3 linked regions of the Rattus norvegicus genome follow. The protein of the gene in region 2 purifies or fractionates together with the protein of the main gene of each other region. This does not show direct contact. Links are inferred from orthologs where the notes say so. Each region holds a gene or a part of one and is shown on either strand. Other genes may lie near its edges. The genes, in order: Orc4, Lrwd1 and Orc3.

Region 1 (3,748 bases), on a different chromosome or scaffold from region 2:
TGTTTTTGTATTCTCCCCCACTGAAGCAAGACACAATCAGATGTTAGCTGGAGAAACCACTTTTGACAACAGCAAATAAAAATAAAAGTGTCCTTCCTTCCCTGACAGGGTGGACACCCCACCTCACACACCCCTCCTCACTCCGGCCCCTCCTTCACTCACCCCCCAGCACCACCCCCTCCTCACCCCGGAGCTCCACTGCGTATGAGGTTTGGTGCTACTGCTGCCCCGGAGTGAAAGTCAGAGCCAGAGGAAGGCAATGGAGCCCCCGCAGACACACTTACCTTTCCTGCCCCCCACTTTTGAGTGCCTTCCCTGGAGCTGTGGAGGATGACACAAAGGGTAATAAAGGGGGGGAGTGGAGGAGGAGGAGGCAAAGGAGGAGGAGGAGAGCTGGGGAAGTGGCTGCTCCCGGTGTAGGGAGATGTCTCCAGCCAGGGCCAAGCAGCAGCAGCAGCAGCAGCAACAGCAGCAGTAGCAGCAGCAGCAGCAGCAGCAAAGGGTCTGTGTTGCTAAGAGGCTTTTGGTCTCTTTCTCTCCTTCTCTCACGGCCAAGAGAAGGAGGGTGGAGGGGGCTCTGGAAGCAGGCGAGTAGAGGGGCTGAGGGGGTAGGAGTCGTGGATGGGGGTTTTCTAAGAAGAAGAAACTCCTCTCCTCTCTCAGGCTCAATCCCCCACTCAGGGCTCAGAGCTGGAGGGTGGGGGAGGAACTCAGCCGTCTTCCCCCCACCCCCCTCAATTCAAGGTTGAAGTGGGGTAAAATTAGTGTCCTGTCCCTTTAAAAATAGAAATAAAAGGTGCCCCCCCTCTGCCACTGCCTCTCTCTTCATCATCAGCTGCTGCTGCTGCTGGGGTCTCTCTGCTTGGGGGGGAGGGGGGGCTCGGGTAGAAGAGACGGGAGGCACTCACTGCGCATGTCCCTTTCTGACGGGAGGCTGGTTGGTTGAAGGCAGGAGGAGGGGGAGGGGAGGAAATGAGATGTTTTCCCAGAAGGCTCCAAGGCGCTGTCGACCCGGAAGACATTGTAGCAGGGGGTAGAGGGGCGGGGGCGGGAAGAGGGAGGAAGTTGCTACTCTTTAACACCCCCAGCTGCCTCCTCCCTCCTTAGGGAAAGTGGAGGGACGGAAGTAGGCGTGGACCGAGGCAAAAGGAGGTCACGTGTTGGGGCGGGGCGGGGCCGCAGGCCGGCCGAGCACGGTGCATGCTGGGAGTTGCTGTGTGTTCTTGGCTGCCGCAGGTGAAACAGAGCTGGGAAGGCGGTGAACAATCCTGGGTCCTTACAGTCGGCGGAGGCTGCCCGATTTAGGCAGGCTTTATTGAGAGAGGTAAGGCTGGTCTCCTAGGCAAAGTCAGGGCCGTAGTGGCCATTGGCGGGTGAACAGTCTAAGGAGACTGGGAGGCTTCTGTAGGCCCAATAGGCCTAAAGCAGGCAGCCTGCGCCTGGCTCTTGGTTTCCCGGAGATGCTGTGGACGAAACCCTGAGCAGTGCAGAATTCTGCAAAGACCGGTTACAGAAGACTTGTAGGTGAGGAACATCATTGGTCAGTGTCGAGAGACCGGGTTCTCTGCAGAGAAAAGCACTACCTGCTTTAGAGCTTGCGACCTATTTGGAAAAACCAAACCAGATGTGTGAATTTTGGATCAGCTGCTACGGTACTTTGCTCATATTGGCTATGTTCACATCCTGCCTTCCTTCCTTTTCTGTATTCCTTGAGGGTTTGCAGAAGCTGTAGGCAAGGAACGGGCAGGAAAGGTTTGAGTGAAAGCACCCTGAATGCTCTGCCTTAATGCTGCAAACACAAAAGACTTGCACGTTTGAGGATGCTTGAGATTGTGTGGTCCTCCATACTGAGTTTTGTCATTAAAAAACAAAAACCTTGAAATTTTCTTTTCTTGTGGTGTAAAAGAAAGCTTTTTATCTGGGTATTTCTTTTTTTTTTTATAGTGAATAACGTTTTTTTTCTTCACCTTCACTTTCTTCATTAGTCTTTTAGTTGGTTTTTGTCTAGATACTTTGGAGGATTATTAATTACTTCGTCTTTAATAATTTAAGTTTCCTAAAAAAATTTTAAATAAAAGATCTTCGAACTTACTCTTAGTCTTAACTGTTTTAGTTCTGCTCCGTAGGATTCAGTCAGTTAAATCTCAATCTTGTTATTGAAAAAACTATTACCTCTCTCTCTCTCTCTCTCTCTCTCTCTCTCTCTCTCTCTCTCACAGACACACACGCACACGCACGCACGCACGCACGTGCACACGCGCCCAATTATTATGGCCTAGTTAGAACTTTTAAGTCCTGTTTGGTGTCAGGGCCTAAATGTGTGGAAAAGTGCACAAAACACAGATGTAATAAACAACTGTAACATAACCTGTAACCACTATGAATCAAGACCCAAAACATGGGTAGCAGCTGGCAAACACAGGCCCACTAATAGCTTCCAGACCGTTCTTCCTCCTGTGCTACTTTAATATTTTCTTGATTCTTGTGATTCACTGCTTTTCTTTTAGTAAAAATGTGTGTCAGCATTTCTAAACAAATATTAATTTGCCTCTTTTTATCTATTTGTAGTAGTTCACATATCCTAATAAGGCAGAGCATGCAGGAAGCCGTTGTTTACAAAGCTGAGAGTTGCCCCTGTTGATATATTTTGCTGTAATTTATATATTTTCGTTGTTGTATAAGAGTTTCTGAGGTATAAAACGCCTTTTTTTTTAACTAAGCCACAATTAGTCTTAATGAACTTTGACTTGTTTTTTTTTGTTTGCTAATAAATGATCTACATAACTACATAACAATCTGATTATCTAAATAAAATTTTTCATATGAACATAGCTGTGTATTTTTATGAGTTGTATATGGCTGTCTACAGTTTCACCAAACTTTAAAACTGGTGTGCCATTCTATACCCCGACCTCAGGTGTGATAGATCCTTGCTTGTACCTTCTCACCAACAATTTTCTTTTAATTTTGCCCATCTGATAAGTGTATAATTTGCAATGTGTTGAGTAAAGTTTTGTACTGAGGATATTGCCTGTTTTCAGAAACTGACTGGCTATTTGGATTCATTCATAAATTGTCTTTTATCCTTTTTAGGTCTTTTGTGTATTTTTTTTCTACTTTGCTGTTTTCCATAAACATTTGTAGCATTATGGCAGATAGTCTGTTCTTGGAGTATTACTTTCTTTCTGGATAGTATGTGAGCTTTCTAAATTTATATGTGGTTATTGTTTCTTGAATTTTATATTTAACTTTAACTCCAGGACATAGGTTTTCAACTTGTGCTAGACAGTACAACTGCCACTAGCCCTATGTGGCTTTTGGGCACTTGAAATGTTGTATGACTTACTATAGGATGTTGTTGTTTTTGTTTCATTTTATATATTAAAAGTGTGTAAAATACCTCAGCTTCTCACTATGTTTGCTTGTTAAAATTTTAACTACTTTTACTTTGTTTTGCTTTATTAAATATACTAGGAAATGTTAAATTAGAATTTACATTTATGTTGGACAGCAGTGTTCTTAACTATAAGTATTGACATAGATGTTTCTATATCTTGGCCACTTTCTTCTGATTAATGTCCTGCATTTCTGTCTTTTTGGCACCTTTTTTGGGCATTTAAAGAGAACTGTTTTTTAAGAACTACTTTGTTACCTATGGTTTGTCTGCTTTTCTACTCTGAGGAGGGGGAGGTGGAATTCTTGGTCATGGTTTAGAGTTCCTCTGGATTCTGGTATCAGTATATCATTG
Region 2 (3,748 bases):
GGCCTCTACTCAAGCATTCCCCTGGCTATGCACCCCAGCAACTTGCTACAGGGCTGCCAGAGCCATTCAAATGGTTACTTTTTATTCATTCATTGCCCATTTCCGTGGAAGGTGTTAGCCAAGGTCAACAGAGGGCTAAAAGGAAAACATTTTAACATCCTTCCCGGCCTACCCATCTCCTGACCCTATTACTACCTTGTAAGACAGATTTGTTTTTGTTTTTCAAGACCGGCTTTCCTGGAACTCCCTATGTAGATCAGGCAGGCCTGGAACTCACAGAGATCCGCCTGCCTCTGGATGCATCACCACTAGCCGGCTGTAAAGCTGATTCTTATAGGTTTGTTTTCCCCCGAAAAAAAATTTCCCCCAAACCAAAGTCTGTGCTGTCTTAAGTCGCTCACTCCCTGCCTGTCTTTCTTCTCTGGCTTTCATCAGAATTTCCAATACAAACAGCCAATCCCTACCATTTCCATGCGGACTCCTTTGTGCTCCCGAAGCACAAAGACTTCCAGGTATTAACTCCAAGTTATTTGCTACTGCCCCCCAGCAAAGTCATAGAGGTGATGTGTTACGGCTGCTTCCCTACTTCCAAGGCAACTCTTAAACCTGCTGTGTGGCTGAGGTTGGCTTCAACTTCTGACTTTCCTGCCTCTCGGCCTTTCAAATGCAGGGATCTCGTCGTGCATCAGCATTTCCCCGCCCTTCCCTCCATCAGTTGATGACACTTGGGAAGCCTCCACCTTTTGGGTTTTGTGAATATTGAACATAATAAGCGCTTCAACCAACTCCTTTACCGCGAGGTTTTGATCCCTTGGCCTCAGTTTCCCATTAAGATGAATAGATTTCCTGGGTATGACTTTTCCCAGTTCGTACCTGAAGGGAGATCTGCCAGGGCGGGTCCCTCTGGAGTCGTCTCTCGCAGATGAGACAGGTCCGGATACCTTTACAGCCGCACTCCTGCAAATGAGAAACTTCAGCCGCTACAGCCGCCATTGCACCCTCGGAGCAGCTAGGGCGCAGGCGCAAGGCACCGGGGCCTCTGGGAGTTGTAGTCCTCGCACGCAGAAGCAGGGGTTAGGGAGTACGGCTGGCGTTCTGCTTCCTTCCGGTCCCCTGGACTCTCAAAGGGTTTGTTGTGCGCCACCTCCTGGGCTCCCCAGCATCCGGCCTTAGTGACCAGACTTCGTGGAGGCGTGGGTTCGGTTGAGCCCTCGACCACCCATGGCTCCTCTCACGCCGCAGCTGCTCCTGCAACGTGGGCGACCCAAGACCGACAGGCTGGGGAAGATTCAGAGTCTGAAGTAAGAGCAGACGGGGTTGAAGCGGATCGGAGGCGTGGAGTTCTTTCCCGCCCCGGTGGTTTAGTGGGCGGAATGCAAGACTCAGACTCCTCTCTCCCCTCCTTCTGTCCCGGTTATTCTGTTATCTGGGGTTCGGGCCCTAGTCGAATCTCTATCTCGCGCCTAACGGAGATGCGGGAGATTAGCAGCCACATCCCGGCGTCCAGTGAACCTGGAGCGAACGCCTTTAGCCTTGCGTAGAGTGGAAAGATTGTTGAGCTGTTGAAGAATCCTGCTCGGAAGGGGCCAGCAGGACCGAGTAAAAGCAATCAAGGAACTTGGAAACCTCGGGTTCTAAAGTCGTTATGTGATCTGGTATTCGACGGCCGGGCGCAAGACTAACGTCATGCGTTGGCAGCTAGCCTGGGCTGTGGTATGAGACCCTGTCTCAAAAGGAAAAAAAAAAAAAAACTCTTCTTTTTAAAATTTCGAGACAGGATTTGTCTGTGTAAAAGCCCTGGTTGTCCTGAAACTGGCTTTGAAGACCAGGCTGGCCTCGAACTCACAGCGATTCCCCTGCCTCTGCCTCTTAAGTGCTGGGATTAAAGGCTTGTACCACCATGCCCAGCAATAAAGGATTCTTTAAGGGAGGGAAGGCGGGCCACAGAAATGATCCAGCAAGTAAAGGTGCCTGTCACCAAGCCTGAGTTCAGTCCCTTGGACCCAGACAGTGGAAAGAGAGAACCCCACTGGAAACCTGACCTACTTACTCACACTTTAGACTGTGCCCATTCACACACACACACACACACACACACACACACACACACACACACACAGAGAGAGAGAGAGAGAGAGAGACACAGACACTCTATAGTAAATAGAAACGTAATTTAGAAAGCGAGAAGGCTAGAATTGTTAGCACAGTTCAGTGGTACATTGCTTACTAGACATGCACAAAGCCTGAGTGTCCAAAGGGTTCCATCCCTACCAACGCCTGAACGGCTCCCAAGGGGTGGCACATGCCTGTCCTTCTAGCACGTGGGTAGAGGCAGGAGACTAAGTTCAAGGCTTTCCTGGACTACACAATGAACGTTTTGAGGCCAGCCTAGTCTACATAGTTCAGGATAGCCAAGTCTGAAAAAAATAAATAAATAAGCCCATACTTGCACAAGAACTTTCTTGGTGGAAATTCCTCTGGGACAGAAGGGGTGATGATCAGTGGGAGGGTCTGGCCCTCCCCCTGAGCTCTCTCGATCTCTGCTCTCATCCCAGTCTGTCAGGGCTGGAGCTGCTCTCAGAACACTTGGATCCCAATCTCCTGGGACGCCTGAAGAAGCTGAAGGAACTTGACCTCTCTAACAACTTGCTGGAAACATTGCCTGCTAACCTAGGCCTGTCCCATCTGCGAATCCTTCGCTGTACCAACAACCAGCTAGGGGACGTCACCACCTTGCACCAGTTCCCGGAACTTGAGGAGCTCAGTCTGGAAGGCAACCCTTTCCTGACGGTGAGAGGAGGGAGGGTTCTATCAGCAGGATGCTTAGGACCAGGATTCTGTGAGGCAGACACAGACTTCACTCTTTCTTTTATTTGGTTTCGAGACAGGGTCTCATGTAGCACAAGCTGGTTTCAAATTAACTGTGGATCCATGAATAGCCTGGAGCTCCTGATCCTCCTGCCTCCTGAGTTTTGACCATGTTCCACCAAGGCACGGTTTATGCAATGCTAGGAATCAGACTTGGGGCCTCGCGCTTGCTAGGCAAAGCAGTCTGAGCAACATGCCCACCCCATTTGGGTTTTTGTTGTTTTGTTTGTTTGAGGCAAAGAATCTTGCTTTGTAACCTAGACCAGCATCAAACTTCCGAACGTTGAGATTAATGGCATTGGTCATTACTCCTGGCTTTCCCTTCTCTCCTTCTGTTAGGTCAGTGACAACCTCAAAGTCTCCTTTCTCCTGCCCAAGCTGCGTAAGGTCAATGGCAAGGACACGGCCTCCACCTGCTCACAGGTAGAGAGCCTAGATCGGGAGCTGACCAACAGGGTAAGGATGATGAGGTGGGGGTAGGGTCCTTGGTCATATCAGTTGGGTATTGAGGGGGACAGAAGTAGATTTTTGGAGGTGTGTGACAGAGATCCTGGCCCAGACAGCCTCAAGTCTGAAGTGTTGAGTCTGGTTTTTTTTTTCTTCCTGTTTGGAGACCCTGTCTCGAAGGTCTCCAGCAAGCACAGCAGGACACCAGGGAGGCTAGACTCTGCAGTGAGCTATTTTTTTGGACACAGGGTCTTGCTTATGTAGCCCAGATGTCCCAGGATTCCTCTGCCTCAGTCTCCCAAGTTTGTCATCACCACCATGCCCAGTTGAACCAAACTGGTTTCAAGTCACGTGACTTCAGTTTAGGCTGGTAGCAAAATAAGAGGTCTTGCCCACAGAAGTTTCTAGAAGGTGGCGTAGTCATTATACTGTG
Region 3 (3,648 bases), on a different chromosome or scaffold from region 2:
AAAAAACTAATTTCTGTCTTTCCTGAACCATTCCTTTTCACACCTCACCTGCTGACCAGTTTGAACTGCCTTCATTTAGAAACAACACCTTTCCTACTTTCCTTTCTACGCAGGGTCTCAACCAGTAGTGTGATGTAAAACCTAAGGTCATGTTAGCCTGGAATACCCAGTGATTTTTCTTGTCCTAGCCTCTCAAATGTTGGGGTTACAGGCATGAACCTCTATATATTTTTTTGTCTTTCTTTTTTTTTTTTTTCCGGGAGCTGGGGACAGAATCCAGGGCCCTGCGCTTGCTAGGTAAGTGCTCTACCACTGAGCTAAATCCCCAACCCCCGAACCTCTATATTTTGTACTGTTTTTAACTTGTTAAGTCCTTTTCTTTGGTATACTTAACCTTTTTCAAATCTGTAACATGGTTGGTTCATTTTATATACACACAAAAGCTGGCTTTTGGGAAAGACCTAGAATGATCTAGGGCTCATAAGCAAACTAGATAGGAGACTTTGACAGCTGCTGAATAGGTGCTGTGTAGATTTGGTACTGATACTTAGTTGTCCCGATAAACTATTTAGAACAAAACTAATAAAATGGCTAGTGTACAATGTCTGTTTCTACTACAGGCAGAAAATGGTTAGAATAATGCAAAATTGAGAAAATACTCTGAAACACATTTCCTCACCTGGCCTAATTGGCTAGATGAAGTTTAAACCTGCCTTCCTGAGCTGACAGTAAAAACTAAACTAAATCATTTGATTGGACAAGGACAGAAGATCAAGAAAAGTACTAACTCTGATCAGATGGCAGAAACACTTGGACTGGCTGTGGATAGCGAGTTTACTGGGGTCATGGAAGAACAGGATCACTTTTAGCTCCTCAGAGCGTTAGACTCACCTCACCAGGTTGTCGATGAAGTTTATAACATTTTCTCTGAGCATTTCAAACTTGGTTGGCTTCTTAGTTGTTCTCCTTAGCTCTTTCATTTCCAGTAAGGACTACAGGGCAGAGTGGGGAGTGGGTTAAAGTATGCCGTCTTTGACTTAGGAACAGAGTCACTCTGAGCTGTCACTAATGTGGAGTCAGCTGATGCCCTTTACTTAGAGTGCAGACAGAACCAGATCAAAATGTGCTTTATTTTCTGTTAAGAATCTGCCCCTCTGTTTTGCTTTAAACATAAGCCAAGTGAACGTTCACGGGAAGAAGTTTACCTCACTGCGCAGTTACACAGGAGTGTTCACTTGGAGCATGAGGAAGAGTGCGGGAGGATGCGGAAGAAAACCCCCATCCATCCCCACCCACCACAGCCTCGGCCACAGGAGCAGCAGGCGCAGAGTGCAGTTCCACCCAGACTGAAATTCTGTGGCACATTTTAACTGGGTGAAATGGAATAAGAAGGCTCCTCTGGCAATCAAGTGCTCTTTTACCCTATGAGTGTTGTTTAAAAAAAAGAAAAAGGCTGAGATTTGTAGTTTAGTGGTACAGCTCTAGCCAGTGGTGACACACCCTGGGTTTTCTTCTCAGCACTATTGGGGTGTGTGTGTGTGTGTGTGTGTCAAATTTTGACTTAGAGTCTCCTAACTCTGATCAAAAAGAGAAGTATACTATATTCATATTCTTTTTGTAACCCATGTTCCATTTCCCCTTTACAGTTAATTCTGTCTTCCTTAAGGCTTCAGAATTGTCTGTATTCTGTCAGGTAGACTGTAGACTGTGCATATATAATGTAGGAAGATAGTGAGACAAACAGAACTGTAGCACAGAAGGGAGTCTACCTGTAGGTGGAGATGGGCCACTGTCTTCTCCCTTGAGAATTAATTCAATGGAGGGCCTGGCTGGGAGGCTTCCCTAGTAAGGCTGGTTCATTTACCTTCTTCCAGAAGTTCAACATCTTATGTAATTAGTAAAAACCTCCATGAAGTTTGCCTGGGTTTGCAAGTCTTTCTGAGTACTGACTCAGGCACGGTTACTCCTTTTTCTTTCGCATGCTGGCCAATAAATGTCCTAATCCTCTGGGCTTCCACAGTCTCTACAGATACGCTCCCTGCCACAAGGCTGCCTGCTGCCACACCAGCCTATCCTCCTCTCGGCAGCTTCGACGGTTACTGCCTAGCTGCTTTGTTGGGGCGTGGGAGGGACTTTAAAATAAAGCAACAAAACCTAATGAATTGCTGTCCAGCTTGTTTGGGCACTTGGTTAATTTTTTCCATTGGTAAGAACAAGGACACAAAAGGGATTTTGATTACAGATGTCTCCAGTGTCTCCATAGGAGTGGCCTGAGAGTTCCTGTAATACTTCAGCCCCTTCCTGCGGCTTAGATGGCATCAGGATGTCTGAGTTACTAGCTTCAGTCTGCGGGCATTGCCTCGGGTTGCGATGTAAGATGAATGTGATGACATTCTAGCAGACCGATTCTAGAGCACCAGTTACCACAAGGGAACCACCCCCAGTGCGGCTGGAGGAAGAGAGACCCCTACCTTCTGAAGGTGGTACAGGTCCGTCTTCTGCAGCCCCTTTGGCTGTGAACCACAAGCATCCTCTTCCTCTTTGCTATCTGCTTTGGATGCAAAACCAATACACAGCAGAAAGGAGGCATTGGAAGTAGATACATGCTTCTTTAAACATGAGCAAGCCTGCCAGACAAGTGAACTCCCTCCAGAAGCTGAAGCCAACACACTGCATCGTTTATATGTAGTGAGGTCTTCACCAGTAGCTACCGAACTCTCAGACTGTTTCTAGCAAAAGCCTATATAAAAAATGGTACAGACTTGAAAGTATCTTCCTTTGACCTAAGATTTCAAGCACGATCAGCTACATTCTGATAGACCTGCGCTAACCTTCCACTATACTACTTTTGATTCATTCTGTTTAGTATAAAGAAGTGATATATAAAAGCTTCAAGGAAGATAAAGTGCTCACTGATATAAATGTATGGCTGTGCTTCAGGAGGATGTGATACTCTCTCTGACTGACTTGGGAACCTGACAATGGTTTGGTTCAAAAATAACATAAAAATTTAGCTAAAGAATATACACTATTCTTATAGAACCAGAAGATAATTCCTGATTTTAGAAAGTTTTAACCTAAGGTCAGGATAACTACTAGCTAAATTCTTTATTCCATTCAATTGCCATGTAACAGAACCGTAAAATTGATTATAACTCAGCCTAATTTAACCCTCTCCAATCTAATTCTAAATTAAAATACATCAGCAGTGTAAAGAGACCATAGGTGGCAAATAACCAAATATTTCTTCTTGTGAGAAATTTTAAATATACTTTGTTATTAATAACAATTTTTTTTAAACCAAGAAAATAAAGACAAAATTATAAGGATGGTGGTTTTGTTTTAATTCATAAAACATTCTATTCTTTATACTGTTGTCAAACATTTTAATTTTCAGCCATTCCATTTGAAAAGTGGCAATCCTTTAGTGCTAGTCTACCACAGGATTTGTTCATTAGGTCATGTTACATGAACTCCAATTAAAATTATGGTATCTGCAGTTTCTTTTTTTTATAGAATTCCTGAGACTATTTTATATTCTTCTATATCTTTGGCCTTATTTATGTCCTTAAGAGTGGCTTCTCTTTGGTGAAACTACAACTGTGAACTGATCTTATACACACTTACACACACACACACACACACACA

What was found.
Region 1: the proteins of Lrwd1 (region 2) and Orc4 purify together in Homo sapiens (affinity purification with mass spectrometry; 3 studies listed by BioGRID and IntAct, with this or other methods). This does not show direct contact. The link is inferred for Rattus norvegicus from reciprocal best matches to the Homo sapiens genes LRWD1 and ORC4.
Region 3: the proteins of Lrwd1 (region 2) and Orc3 purify together in Homo sapiens (affinity purification with mass spectrometry; 4 studies listed by BioGRID and IntAct, with this or other methods). This does not show direct contact. The link is inferred for Rattus norvegicus from reciprocal best matches to the Homo sapiens genes LRWD1 and ORC3.

What each region holds. Positions count from the first base shown.
Region 1 is NC_086021.1:53,739,739-53,743,486, reverse strand, and holds the start of Orc4 (origin recognition complex subunit 4), read left to right. Parts: upstream 1-1,222; 5' UTR 1,223-1,324; intron 1,325-1,358; exon of another isoform or gene 1,359-1,524; intron 1,525-3,748. UniProt on the Homo sapiens protein: Component of the origin recognition complex (ORC) that binds origins of replication. DNA-binding is ATP-dependent. The specific DNA sequences that define origins of replication have not been identified yet.
Region 2 is NC_086030.1:26,165,546-26,169,293, forward strand, and holds the start of Lrwd1 (leucine-rich repeat and WD repeat-containing protein 1), read left to right. Parts: upstream 1-1,102; 5' UTR 1,103-1,221; coding exon 1,222-1,301; intron 1,302-2,555; coding exon 2,556-2,790; intron 2,791-3,207; coding exon 3,208-3,324; intron 3,325-3,748. Other genes in the region: Alkbh4 (alpha-ketoglutarate-dependent dioxygenase alkB homolog 4), read right to left, coding at 874-993. UniProt on the Homo sapiens protein: Required for G1/S transition. Recruits and stabilizes the origin recognition complex (ORC) onto chromatin during G1 to establish pre-replication complex (preRC) and to heterochromatic sites in post-replicated cells.
Region 3 is NC_086023.1:53,929,302-53,932,949, forward strand, and holds part of Orc3 (origin recognition complex subunit 3), read right to left. Parts: intron 2,741-3,648; exon of another isoform or gene 2,552-2,740; coding exon 2,472-2,551; intron 993-2,471; coding exon 892-992; intron 1-891. UniProt on the Homo sapiens protein: Component of the origin recognition complex (ORC) that binds origins of replication. DNA-binding is ATP-dependent. The specific DNA sequences that define origins of replication have not been identified yet.